Linked DNA regions of Drosophila melanogaster. The protein of the gene in region 2 interacts with the protein of the main gene of each other region in a biochemical or structural test. Each region holds a gene or a part of one and is shown on either strand. Other genes may lie near its edges. The genes, in order: side and beat-Ia.

Region 1 (7,541 bases), on a different chromosome or scaffold from region 2:
AAGAATTATCATATTCCAAAGTTCAAAGTTACTTGTAAATTTTGCTCTGTGTACTCGTTTTGCCCATACCAAGTCGATGCCAATGTAACTGGATGGCCATGTTAATGCCCATTTCCAATTCAATTGGTAATGTTCATGTTGGCTCCATAGTTTCTATTGCATTAAGGGCCAATAAAAATTTACAAGCAACCTACACGAGATTTTCCCACCGGGGGGGGGGGGGAGGGCTTTTCCTCTGCTTAAGTGTGTTTGACATGAGATAAGCTCGTTTTTCCCGGCTCGCCTCATTTGTCTCGTTTACAAAGGCAGCCCGAGCAAATTGATAAATTATGGCACAGCCGCGGACAACGGCGCATTGAGATCGAAAGCAGACCAGAATTGCCGGCAATTAGCCGAGCAAAGGCAATTAGCATTATGGGATAAGAGGTGCCCGAGCCTAGAACAAGTCCATCGCCATCCAGACACTTGAGTTTTGGAAGCGGGGTCAAGGAATGCCAGATCCAACTGCAATTGAGACGTGTAAGGTCAACGAAAGTCTGGAGCTGGAGCCCACGAAAAGCCCAGGACCATTGATATCGATGCGTATGCAAATCACGACGAGCACTTTGGCGGCATTAGAATTACAAATATCCGTGGAGGGGATTTTCCACATTCGCCGGCCGCAAGGGCGACGATTGCTCGAAAGCTGCGACGTGACAACACGCAAATAAAATCGAAGCCTACCCATCATCCGGCAGATACGGCTCGTGGAAATAGATACAATGTAAATATGCAAAGTCGGGGCAAAATACATAAATCAGCACGTGGGGGCGATTCGCTGTGAAATGAAATGCAAACAGTGGCGAAAACCAAGATGCGGAAGCATAATTGAACTCTAAGTCGGAGCTGCGAAGGCGAAGCTCTGCAGCTCCAGACACTCTCTACTCATTAAAGGCAAATGCAATTTACGCCGATAATTTGCAATAATTTGCATACTACGTGCGGTTGGCGAAAGGGAGAGGGGCGGGTGGTGAGCGACGACATTTTCCGCTGCACCTGGAAAACCGACTCGCACAACCAGCCACCCACCACTCGCTCAATTTTCCCACTCAGCTTAGCCGCCCACGTTGCACTCTACGTGCTCCAGCTTTTTAATTGCACGGCTTAGCCGAGGCGCGTTGGCATTTTGTAAATTTCGTTAATTGGAAAATGTGCCAGGATTCATTTTCATCTATTTCCCAAATGCCCCGAACGCCATGCGTCGTGATCCCGAGCGGTGTCAGCTGGCGAACTCGGCTCAAACTGGATTTATTTTATTGCGGGCTAAATGGAATTTCCAAAATGGTTATCGCCAAAAGCGTTGCCATTCGCTTATCCTGCATGCAGGAGTCTCTTCATTATGCACAAGTCGCTCGCTGAATGTTTTCTACTTTCGGTTGCCATCCTGATTGTATTTATCCATAATATTTATCCATTTTGACGAAGCCCTCGAGGTGTGAAGCAATTGTTCGGGCTGCAGGATTTATTATGCATAAAATTGCAGCATAAAGTCAAATAAAATATGTATTGAAAGTTTTATTGTTTGGCAGCCGTTCTGCAGCAGCGATGCCAACGCTTTTCCCACTCCCACCATTTCCCTTTTCCCGCTCACATATTTGCACATAGTACACATTTCATGCGGAACTGACGCTTGTGTGACGCTAGCAGCATTTTGTTTAAAATTGAATTCCTTCAATGCATTTACCTAAATTTAATTCCTTCTCATGCTGCTGCCCCAAAACTTTCTGTTCGCAATTTTTGCCACGCTCCGCTTCGCTTGGTTTTGTTTCGCTTTGTTCGTATTTTCAACTTTGTGTGGGTGATTTTGAGTTCGCTTTATACCATATATGTACATACATATGTATATGCTCTGGGCTTCTATTTGCTTTAATGAAGCCGAACTCTCTGGACAGGCTAGCATATACATATATGGCATATGGCGTATATACGTGCCGACACTGGCTCAGGATCAGGATCGGGATCCTGGTAGGAGGGCTGTTGGCTTTGCAAATATCCTGCGGCTGTAGCGTTTATATGAGAGCTTATTATTCCCTCTTATATTTTGCCACTGGTTGGAAACGGAGCTGCGCAGTGGATTTTGTGATTTGCTTTTTATGTGTGCCACCATATGGGGCAGTAGCCAGGAATCCAAGAATGGGGCCACGCACATGGAAAACTCCCATGTTGGATGCAAGGCGGCAAGAGGCGCTTAGCGAAATTCATGCAAGGATTTCACTGGATTGTTGCCAAGGTTGCTCAGCTCGCAAAAAATATGCCGCTAAAAAAATGACGAGTGGAGTGAGTGGGGAGCAGGAAGTAGATTTAACGTTTTTAGTAATGGATTTATCAAGAAACCGTAGTTGAAATCTGATTCGGTACTGTCAGGAAAGAGCGAAGTGAATTCAACAAGCCAAATTTAATTGGGTAATAATAAAGAACTGGCTAAATATATGTTATAGTCTAAAAATATAATTCACAAGCAGCAAGAAAAATTCTACCAAACTAATGACTTTCTTGGCCTAATTTGTTTTCCTTTCCTATAGCAACGACATAAATCTCAGCTCTCAAGTGACCATCACAACAGCATTCCACTCAAAGATGAAAATTTGAAAGGCAAACAAATCTGTCCCATAAGCAAACCCCGGCTGTCTGTGGATCCTGGCTAGCTGGCTGGGATCTGGATGGGATGGGATGCAATGGAATGGCATTGCGAATTGAAGGCGCAGCTTCCGGAGCACGGACTTATGGCTACAAATCAGAAGGACCAACTTACCCCCGGCTGCTCTTTGGCTTTCCCTGGCTAGCTAATCCAAAGGACAGAGGAACTTTCAAGGCCTTCCAACTGGCAAGTTTAATTTATGTTTTTGCTTGGCCAACAGATAGAGAGCAAAACTTTTGCTGCTCGCAGCTATTGTTCCAATGCACTGACCCGTATTTGCAAAGATGTCTGCATAAGCAATTTGTATCTTGTATCTACTATCTTTGTATCTTGCGGATGCTCCGATGCACTTTCACTTTGCCCCGCCAGACGATGGCAATTGTGATAAATTATATGCCACGCGACCGATCGGATTGGATCGTTTCATATCAGATGGGAATCATAATCAAAACCGAAGGGGGCAGGCTGTACGGCCGACGAACTGTTGCGCCCACTCTCACACACACACACACTGATATACTCATATATATACTGACCACTACAAATGAAACCGCAGTGTGTTATTGTGTCATTAATTTGTGCGCTCTCTTTGTGTGGGAATACTCCTTTTTATTGCTGCTTTTTTTGGCGCTTAAAGTGCGAAAACTGACTGGAATTAATTGATGATCCGCACGCAGCTGGAGTGCGGTATTGGTATTGTTGGTTGATTGGGAAATGGAAAATCGAAAATGGGAAATCGTTAATGAGGCAGAGTGACGCGTTCACATTTCCATATGATTTAATGATTTACTTCGGGGGTCCTTCTATCTGCTCTACTACGCACTTTTACGAATTTTCCGCAACTCACTTTTCAGTCTTGCTGTTTGTTTGCCCGCACTTGGAGTTTCATTTTCATTCGCATTTTCCGCTTTCGGCTGTTATTGCTGCTCGTAATCCGCTTTTGCCCTAAATTTCGATTTCCTTTCGCTTTTTTTTTTGCACTGCAGTTATTTCGAACTTCGCTTTTTCCAGTTCTCTTCAAGTGTTTTGATAACTTGAGTGTATTATTATTTTTCCGGCACGTTGTGTTAATTCGTTTCTTCTTTTTTTTTCGTTGTTGTCGTTGTTGTTTCTGGTGGGCGGTAGGGGCGCGGCACACGAAACGTAAACGATGCGCAGCACTTACGGCGCTCGAGAGTCACGCACAAATGGTCCGCCGCCGCCTCCTATTCCTCTAATTAGCCACATAAATTGCAAGTTGGCCAGGGCCAAAAGAATTCAAAACACACTGTCTAGAGAATCGCAATCCCTGCTGAGTAGTGGTGGCAATAGTGGCAAGCGCCAGCAATGGCACAGATATATGTAGCCAAACACGCTATCGATATATAGAGCAGCACCCGCACGACGAACCAAACGCTGTGAGCCACGGATAAGAACTAAACAACATTCGCAGCTGCCGCTGCTCGGCTGCTGCTGCTGCTGCTGCTGCATGTTGTTGCTGCCGCTCGTTGCTGCTCGCTGCTGCTGCTACGGGGTAGCAACACATGCCGCATATCATTCACGATTTTTCACTTCGGACGGCGACGAGCTTCGGATCACGAGTCCTGCCGCGCTCTCTCGTGCCGCATGTTGCTCGTGCGAGTCCTCGTGCAACATGCGGCCAGGACGTGACCTTTGGCAACTGGTCGAGTGTTGTTTTGGCTCTCGGGCGCGCTTGCAGCCAATTAATGGGCCACTCGCCATGTGATTTATTGGCACCGCTCATAAGTCCCCCCCCCTCTTTGCCCAGACAGGATAAACAAAAAACACATGCATAATTTCCATAAATCTTTTATGGCTGCGTGTAAAAACTTTCGGCTGGGCCAATTATGCGGACCGAACTAGGCACTAATTTGACAGCAAAGTGCCCAAAAGGCTTTATCCCTCCTTGGGGGTCAGCCTAGGTCAACTCTGGCCACCCTCCACTCCGCCGTCGTTCGAATCGTGTCCATAACTTACCACATAATTGAGTTATCCCCCGGTTAGGGGCATGAACAAGCTTTTGTTGTCGTCCTGGCGAAGGATTATCAATGGCCTTTGAGCATTTACTATCGCCCGGTGGTTTTGCTGCTTGAATTGCTCAATTTTGTTCGGGCTTTGATCTGTCGTAAGCTGTGGGTAATGATGCACTTAGCCATTATTGGTTAATTTTAATTGGGCGTGTGACACGCTTTAGACGCTTAAGAAATGTATGCATGCATGGCATCCTGTTTCAATTCTAGGAGTTGTAAAATCGATTAAATGAATTAATATAAATAATAAATTAAATAAATAAATTCTTAAGTACTCTGGTATGCAAATAAGCAAATCAATATATTTACTTAGGGTTAATAATACGTTGATTGAAAATAAGAACAATTACAGCTTTCCATGGTAAAATGAACTTATTTCCCCTTTTAACTCAATTGCCCTTAGGCACATGCAACATGTTGCTACAACACATAGGAATGTTTCAGAACAATTCCATTATTCCGCTCTCTCGCAGCATTGTTGCGTTCGTTAAGTGTTGAGGGACAATGATGAAAGCAACATTTGCTAAGGAAACACGAATATGTTTTCAAATTGCCACATAAAGAAGAAAAGTTTATTGAATATAATTGGTTCATATTTTTAGAAGTTAAATTTCAAATTCAATTAATATACATCCTTTCTCTTGTTATGTTCTTGCTTTCTTTTTTAATTATAAATGAAACTGAAAACTATAATAAAATAAATTCAACTAGCTTATTTTAAATACAACTTTTTTCCAAAACTTGTGAACTCAGTGAACTCAGCTTCCGGCTGGCCATAAAAATATTCGCCACTGTTGGGAAATGGGAACAGATTGTCGCATGGTAATGCAGTTGCACCTGCCAAGCTGTTGCACCTCTAAGCCACCAAGCCACCCAGGGCACTTCGATGGCAGCTCGGCCTCCACTTTTCCCGGGGCATTAGCCTTTTATGCAGCAACGTTGATGTTGCAGCTTCAGCTGCTCGCCCGCGGCAACCTTCACACCTATGCACATGACGCACTCGTATTGTATGGCCACTGCAGAAGCAGAAATGTTAGAAAATAGAAAGAAAATGGCATAGGAAAAGAAAAGAAAAGAAAAGCGCAAATAGGATCAAGGATAACAAGGGCATAACAAATGCAATGCAGGCAAGTGGCATGGGAGCATTGCAAATGCTTTTAAAGCAATACTTGATGCCAGCTGATTGAGTGACTAATGGGCTGGCTTTTAACCGAAGGAACCCCATAAAGGAAGTTTCATTGGGTCACGATGGCTAATTGGCACGTGCTCGCACCCCAAATGCTCCACTAACTCACTTTTAGTTTCAATTTTCATACAAAATATACATGTAACTGAAATGCAATACGTTTTCACCCCAAAAATTTTAATTCCATTTAGAAAATGACACATATTATTTATATTTTTCAATTAGAAGCTTTCCAAAACTTTCCCCAAATTAAATTTGCTGTAAATTAATCATCATTTCAGATATTTCTTTTCGGTGTGGCTATGACATTTGTGCATTTGTCTTGCAGTGGAAATTTGTTTGCCGAGTGAAAAAACCTAGCTTATTTCATTTTAATTGCTTCACAGTCGCAGGACTCGGCACACACACACACGCGCACTCAAAAGGAGAGAAAGAGGATAAGACACACACACAATCAACTAATGCGGTTGTGTGCCATCCTTTTGTCGGGTTGTGTGTGTGCTCATTAAAAAGCGAGGCAGCTACGCAGAAAAGCGACATTTGCATAAAATGCCACTGTGTGTGTGTGTATGTGTATGTGTCCCGAAAGCTGGAAAAGCGTGCCACTGACACACAACTGTCACTCACACGCACTCAGACACAGGACTCTCCCACACACACAAACAAAGTCAAAACTTGCAAATTTTAATGCATCACAAGATTTCAACAACTTCCCATGTCTCACAAGCCGAAAAATCATCACCAGCAGGCTCGTAGCTTGAAGCTGGAAATAAAGAAAATCTCCCACTGTCATGTCACGTGCCTTTTCCCTTCCCCACTGCCATTTCCATGGCCTCCATGGGTTGAATCTGTTCGAGGCACTCATTAAAAGTGCCTGCCGTTTTGGCCCTGGGGCAGCCAGAGTTTTCTGGTCTAATGAAGTTTCCCTTAAAAGGATGGCCCCCTAATCGGACCGAGACCCCGCTATTTCCAGGGTATGTTTGATGTGCGCCACTTGACTGCCGTTAAATTGTCGTTTCCTTTTTTACGCAGCAAGCTGCTTGAATGATTGACAGCTGGACATTGTGGCTGAGTGAATAACTCACAGGCCGACAGGCCGACTGGCCGCTTGATTTATGGGGGCGTGCCCCGGACAGCCGTGCTTTGGCGCTCAATTAAAACGGAACCAAAGTCAAAAGTCACCGAGCGATATGGGAAGCCCACGGAGTCCTAGTTCTAGCTGCGATGGATTAACACATCTCCCGGGGCAACATCTCTCCCGGCGACAACCCTCATGGCAAGGTCTTTTGCTCGAAGGCTGGCCTGTCATATAAATCAAGCATAATCAACGCGAAATGCGGCTTGACTCTCCATAGATGGACTCCGATGCGAGATTCCCGGATAAGCTGCACTCGAAGAAAAAGGGGGTACGCTATCTATCGATGGGAATATTGAAGGAACTCAGTATAGGTATATAGGTAACAATTTGATTATGACTAACTTATGGTCATAACTATCATCTGTTCATTTACTAAATAAATATCAAGCTATTTATTATTGTTGAACTATGGCCACTAGAACTCACCCTCTTTTCTCACTGTGCACGAGAGGGGTGAAGACATCCGCGGGGCGCATAAATCTAAATTACACTGAACCACCAAGGGGATTG
Region 2 (7,569 bases):
TCTCCTTCATAATTTTCCTGCCCACGCTCCTGGGCATCGGCAATAACTGCATGATGCAGATACCAAAAACCCAGGAGAAGCCCCAAAACTGAAGTGAGTTTGTAGAGGGGGAAAAGGAGGGACCATTCAAGGATATAAATTACATGCTTAGCTACTCGTAGTTTCCCTATCCCGATGCGCCCGCTCATATGCAAAAGTTTTTCCCCATTTCTTTTTTTTTTGTGCCGTTTTGGATTTTTGTTGCAGAGATTATGAAATAAATTTCCACATGCCACAACATTTTCGCAGCCGCAAAGGAACAACAAATATGCTAGGTACAGATACTTCTCCTACCCCTGGCAAATGTTGCACTTGAGATGCGCCTTTAGCACCAAAAAGTAGAAAAAGGGGCCCTAGATTACACACACACTGCCGCAGTCGAGGGAGCCACTCGAGATCCTTGAAATTGGAGAACTAGTGACTATGCCAATAACAACAATGGATTTGCATATGAGATATTTTTCAATAGCCCCAAGGTCTTGTGTTTGCCCATGTTTTCGTACTTGTTGGGGCGAAGTTTGAGTCGGTGCAAGATTTGTGATGCGGCGGAAAAAAATTTTTTCCTCCCGACAGTAAAAAATTTGTAAAGTTCTATCCATTCATATATCACAAGAGATAAGAATTAAAACTAGGAGTGGTGCAAAAGTTTTTCGCGAGAAGTCTGTCTGCTTTTAAAATTTGACGGAAATCTCAAGTCGCTTTAAAGTTCGATTCCAAGAAATTGGCACATAAAAAAAATAGCTCTTTGATTTTTGTCCTCTATCTCAAATTATAAATATAAATACATAATATACCATGATCCACTTAAACAAAGTAAAGCTTTTTTATCGAAATTATATAAATTATGATATACAATTTTTGTCTATAAATCAAAATTCATATTTACACAGGATAAGGTAAGTAGTTGGATTTATTATTCCATTTTAAATTCTCATCTATTTGTTAACAGAAAACTAATAAATAAAATCGGGGCATGATTGGATAAACATCTATTTATGCAATAAATATTAAATGCAAGGCAGAAACCAAGACTAATTCAGTTATGCCAATACTAATTGAATAAATCCTTGGCCATTTAACCAGCTTTTGTAGATCAAAGCTCAAGTGGGATAACGAAGCCATAAATTTGCGAGCAAATTCCTTTAGGATTAGCACAACTCATTGGTTGAGTATACACGCACATAATCAGCTTAAACAAATAAGTGAAAACTAATAAGAAAACAGAATTTCGGGGCACTTGCCGAAAAACTAATTAACACCCACGCCTAGTTAGGTTCCTCTTTTTCGCATTTTCGCCCGAATTTCGGAGTGCCTCCGCTCAGCGTTCTTTTTCATAAGCCACAGCACTTGCAGCGCCACCAAATAGTTAAAAAAGAACGAAAATAAAAGATCCAGGCTATAAGAGAAATACCTGGTCGAGAGAAGAATGCGACACCGTTGCAGGTGGCAGTAAAAAATGGCTGAAATTTCTCCAGCTCAACAGCGAACTGGCGAAAGGAGCCGCCGGTCATCCGAGGCTCAGATCAGGACACAGCTCATTAAACGCCGGCCACAGTTTACCTCTCTCGACGGATATTACACGGCCAAAATATAATACGAAGAGCTGTCACACCATTTATCAATGCCAATATTATGCTGTCCGTTTTATTTGAATAAAATCTATGACAATATTCAAAATTTGAACTAAGCGCCAGGAAGTTCGGTGAACACATTGTGCTATTTCAAAGGATTTGATTTTGGTTGGAATTCATAATCTCTGGGTTAGCCAAATTTTTAAGCTTATGCATGTAAAATAATACGAATCCAAAAGGGAGCTCATTATACTGTAACTTTGGTAATGGGTGACAAACTAGATGAAAATAAGCTAGTAAAATAATTCGGAAAATTTTTATATTTCCCTTTAATAATGACTTATGACAAAAGTTTCGTAGATTTCTGGAAAAGTATGACATAAAGTTTATACGCCTTTTATATTCCTTCTCATTAAATAAGCACTTTACTTTTAGGAGAGTTAGTCAAAATGTGTAATAACTCCTTTTAACAGATTTATTTATTTTTAACTCAAAAATCCTGCCGGAGTTTATTTTTTTACAGTGTGCATCTGTTTGCTTGGTCCTATTGTTATTTTTAAGCCGGTCGCAGGATAATCCGAAAAGGCTGGCGACGACTTAATGTGCCCCTTGGCTGTGCTAAATAGCTTTCATTATTTACTTTATTCTCCCATAAAGCGTGCGAAAAAGTTTGGTCCGAGCCATTTTTACAGAGCTGTGGAAATTCCACTGCAAAAACAGAGCAGGATATGGAAAACTGCAGAGATAGACTGGGAAATAAATGTTCCTGCTCGGCTGGTTAAAGGTTTTCTCGTTTTGTTTCGGAACTTTTCCGACTCAGCTGTTTGTGGACACTTGCCAGCACTTTTCTTCGTCCTTCGCCTTCGCCTTTTCCTCTTCCTCCTCCTCCTCCTCCTCCTCCTCCGGCGGCAATAAATCATTTCACATATCAATCAGTCAATCAAATAAATGTTTGACTGCCGCCCAACTGACTGCCCCTCCCTCATCCGATATTGATTGTCCCACTAAATACAATTTTTGCCTAGTCAGTGGGTTGCTCGAAAGTGAGGATGAAAACTCTGCCAGGCAGTTGACATTTTCCATCAACAAAAAATGGGCAAATCGAAGCAGCTAGGACTGAGCTCAAGACATTGTTGCCTAGTTCCCCAGCAACTATGGGAAATGTTTACCAAAAAAGGATGAGCCCGAGGTCCCGGAGACACGCTCCCTGGCAATTGACAAGTTTTGTTTGCCTGTTGGATGAGACGGGCACGCCCTTCTGTACATCTTCCGGCTTATCTTCCGCTGGCTGGGATGTGAAAGGAAACCCCCGGAATCCTCAAATTGCCTTGCCAGGAGCAGGGACATGGTGCATCAAAATTAAACGTCGCAGATTGCGATATATGAAATTACAGAAGCGCAGAGGATGCTTCAAAGTTCGTGAAAGGTTGATGCTTTCGCTGAACTGGCTTATGAGCTGTTACTCAAACGTTATTTGCATTCCCTTGCAAATAATATTCTCAATTATAAACTTTATCAACTATTTTTCTACAACTCTGTTGTGAAGCAAAATTAAAATATTAGTTTTTCAAATTTCAAATGTTAAAAAACTGTTTTTCTTTTAAATAACATACGCTCTTGTGCGTTTCTAGTATACGAGTCTAAATATTCGTAATCATATCCCAATACCCTTCCTGACATCATATCCCAAAGCATCAATTTGTGTCAAAGAGATTATAATGTATTCCTACCTTCAGGTTATTTGGGTAAATTTTCTCTCTTATTATTTTCTTGTACTTTCAATGCAACTGGCTAGTCATATTTCACATGTGAGTATAAGGTTTTGTTTTTTTTGCTTTTTGGTTCTCTCGCTGCGCACAATTTGGCAAACAATTTTATTTTATGCAATTTTCGGTTGATTTATCAGAGAATCCTTTAAGGCGCACCGAGCAAGTATCCTGTCCTGGCGAATGGGGATTTGGTTGTTGGCTTTGGCTGCGTGGCTTCTTGTTGCTCCTTTTTGTGCCCGCCTAAGCCGTTCACTCCTCCCGATTCTGCTGCTTCCTCGTTCCTTATCTCATTTCGCGTATCACGGAGCTCGTTAAAATCACCTTAGAACACGTGACTGCACAAACACACTCGCACTCACACACACACATGCACTGGTGGCGACGAAGCAACAGCCTTACCCACACACACACAGTTTGGGACTATCGCAGATCCTTCGTCGGATCCTTTTCCCTATTTTCCGCCTTCTGTTTTGGTAAATGCTATGTCAGAAACACAAAAACTGCATCTCGCACACACGCACGCCACAGCAAAAATTGGGTTCAGTCCTGCGGTTTCAGTGCAGTTCAACCATTTTTTTTTAAACAATTTTTTCTGTTATTTCCGATGCTCGTAATACTGCGAAAATTGAAATGATGATCTACGCACGTCCTTACGCACGGACAACGCAATGTAAACTGCAGCAGGAGTCGAAGGATTCGCGACACTGCGAGTCCTGTGCACAGATTTCCCAATTGGCGAATGGCCAACGAAGATGGTTCGGAGAATCCGACGTCCTTCATCGGAAAATCACGAATGGAAAAGCGAGGAGAGAGAGAGAGAGAGCACCCGTGTGGTGGGTTTCTTATCCATAAATGCTTCTATTGCTAACTCTGCTTGGTTCCCCTTCCACTGCTTGATTTCCCCTTCCCACTGCTTTGCCTAAGAGAACTGCTTCGTTTTGACTGCTTGATTGTACTCACCACGACTGCCACTTTAAACGGCAACTTACTGTGTACAATATAAAAAAACCAATTGTAACATTATTTTTAAATTTAATAAATTTTTAAATTTTAAATTTACTTTAAATTTTTTAAATACATGTTAGAGTTTAATTACAAGACTTCGGAAGGTAAGTATGCTTAAATAAGCATATATTTTAGAAATACTTCTTCCTGTCTGAGTGTACGGAAAAAGTATATGGAAAGTAAATTTAACGTGGTTAATTCAATTTTCAACTTCTTTCGAAAGAAATTTATAAAAATATATATATTTTCCTACTGTTTTTGAAAGGCCGAGGAAACACATACTCAAATTATACTTATGGCCACTTAACTATGTCCTCCCATTACACAACACTTCCTCTACTTAAAATGGGACCAGCATTGACGAATGGAGGCCGAAACTGGCGACTCTCGGGCTGGTCAGTGACTCCACTTGGGATCCAAATTCAAATCCAGCATAATTGTAAATCAAGCCGCTTGCCAAAATGTCCCGCAAAAGCCCACTCGAAGTACTTAAGTGGAGCATAGCCCCATGTAGATGACCACCAGACTGGGACTGAGATGGCTGCAGAAATTAGTTGCCATTGGCAAAGGCACTTTGCGCCCAAAGTGTCATAATCATAAAAATTTGCAATTATGCTGATGCAACACGGTAGCAACCACCGGCAACTGGAGCAAAACATTTCCAGTTCATTAGCTCAGCCACGCCCCTTTTGCCGCCCGTTTAGTTCGTGTAAGGACACACATTCGATTTTGTTGCTTTGCAAGACTTCTTGGCACGAGGCGAGGCAATACAAATTATGCAGACAACTGGAGACAATAAAGTCATTAACCTCTATTCCAACCAGGCTAAAAGAGTTCAAAGCGGCAACGACTTAATGTACATATATTACAAATGTTTCTACAAAATTAAGCAAATCATATTAATCTAATAATCTACTAAAAAATATATTTAGTTGATTTTTCATAGACATCAATTTATTCATATCAAATGTTTGTGCGTGACTATTTTGCTTATCACTTAATACATGCTGTGCTTTTGTTTTTAATTTTTTTTTCTTTTTCAGTTAGTTTACATAAATTCATTTCTTACAACAAGTGATTTCGTTTAGTTAGATTTCATAAATAATTCACAATATTTTTTTTTTTTGCTTAAGACGGTTTCCTATATAAATAATTTCAAAATAAATTAATCGCTTAAAATAAAGGCAACTACGACCTATTGGCACACTGGGAAAACTGTGCACTTTCCCGAGCGCAGCTATGCTACTTGGAATTTGAGTACAAATGCGAGTATAAGTCAAGGTCAAGGCTGTGTTGTGCGGGAAAGCTATTCGCCCAGGGAGTTGCCATTTTCTTCCTGACTTCTTCCTATACTTTTTACCGTTCCGATTCTCTTGATCTTACGACTACCAAATAAATGGGCATGCAAAAAAAAAAAGAAAAAAAGAATTCGAGGCAATGGGGTCGAACGACAGGAGCGGATCACCACTGGTTGGAGGGACGGCGCTCTGCGCCTGGGGCCGCACTTCCGGAGAATCGCGGCGACGAGGAGTTCTGCGAGGAGCTGCTGCTGGGCATTGTGCTGCAGGCCGCCTCGTTGGCCAGCAGCGTGTGAATGGCCGTCAGCAGCTTCTTGCGAGCTCCAAACGCCGCGATACCCAGCTCCATCAGGTTTTCCTCGGTCAGGGTGGTGAACACCTCCAGGTCGATTTCGTTTAGAACGAATATTTCTGAAAGGAGAAATAAAAACTGTAGTTTTCCCAGGTTGTAAATATAAAATAGTTTGATTTTAAATGCTATATGGATGTTGAACTTTATGTAACTTTATCTATGACTGTGAAAAAACGTTTGCGTTAAATAAAACACTCTCCAGTTCAAGCCAGACATATATGATAGCTTTATAAAAGACTTCTAGTACACAGTTGGTAAAAACGGACATGATCGGCGGAGCTACTCACTGATGTAGTGCTCCAGACCCAAACTGGTGAGCAGAGTCTGGATGTCCTTGTGCTTGGCTAGCTGCATCCGTCGGTTGACTGGAGTGGCGTCCAGGAGTCCGGTGGTGGCACTCAGTCCGTAAGGGGAACCCAGTCCTGGTGGCAGCCGCCACCCACTAGATGCTCCTCCACCAGCAGCCCCATTTTCCCCGTTCTCCAGCGGGGCAGGGGCGGGCGAGGTGCTGCTCAAGCCCATTCCCATCCAAGCGGTCGTGGGTGTTCGCAGCTCCCCTGCCACCGGGGTGCGCTCCATGGCTTTGTAGCCCAGGGCCCGTTTCATGTCGAAGTCAAAGGCACGGTGGCCGGAGTGCTTGTTTCCTCCAAGGTCATAGTGCAAACTCCGATAGCTCTCGGCACTGCCGGGCAGGAGGTGGGCTCCTCCGGAGTTACCTCCTCCACCGTTGGAATTACTCAGCCCCAGCAGCACTCCATCGCTAAGGCGTCGTCCCAGACGCGCCCCACCACCACCTCCGCCGCCAACGCCACCACCCTCACTGCCGTAAGTGGAATCTGGCGAATAATGCGCCCGATTTTGGCTTCCCGCGGTGGAGGATGAAGTGGACGACACGGTGCCCGGCAATTGGGCATACGGCGGATACGACTGCTCCAGGGAGGTGGTGCTGCTGCTAAAGCTCTGGTAACCACTGGTATTCTGACTGCAGCTGTTCCGTGGCGAAACAGTCGGCGGTTTGAGAGGCGGCGCCACCGCTCCAGGAACCTGCAGATAGTTGCCATTGTTGCTCTGCCCACCAGCCACCATGGAACGATTCTGAGCCTGTTGGAAGCTGTTGTGCAACTGCATATATTTTTGGGTGGGCGCACACACCCCAGTGGGCGTGGCCAAGCCATTGGCGTTCAACAACAGGTGATTGTTGTTGGCATAGGGCGTCAGTTGGCCAGCCAAGGAGGGCGGCAGCAGCGATGGAGTCTTCGGGCTGTCCACATACCCAGCCAGCAGAGCAGTTAACTGGGTGCGGTAGGCGAGATTAAGGTCTTTGTCCTTTGGCATGAAGTAGTAGTCGGGGATCTCGGGCTTCACGAATGGCGTGGCCAGGCGCAGGATCTCCTGGCGGGCCTCGTAGATTTTGTCTAAGGAGGGTGACAACAACGGATTAATACGGAAATTTAATTCAGCACTTGCTAAATATCTTAAATTGTATAATATATCTAAAAAGTAAGGAAAATATGGGATAAAAATCAAACAATAAT

What was found.
Region 1: the proteins of beat-Ia (region 2) and side form a complex in vitro, tested with the Drosophila melanogaster proteins (one study listed by BioGRID).

The regions. Positions count from the first base shown.
Region 1 is NT_033777.3:27,433,399-27,440,939, forward strand, and holds the start of side (sidestep), read right to left. Parts: upstream 4,085-7,541; 5' UTR 3,525-4,084; exon of another isoform or gene 2,792-3,524; intron 1-2,791. Other genes in the region: CG44290 (uncharacterized protein), read right to left, coding at 5,564-5,723, 7,458-7,507; CG43447 (uncharacterized protein), read left to right, coding at 7,009-7,206.
Region 2 is NT_033779.5:16,046,482-16,054,050, reverse strand, and holds the start of beat-Ia (beaten path Ia), read right to left. Parts: upstream 4,087-7,569; 5' UTR 3,341-4,086; intron 1-3,340. Other genes in the region: BicC (bicaudal C), read right to left, coding at 5,846-6,093, 6,322-7,449.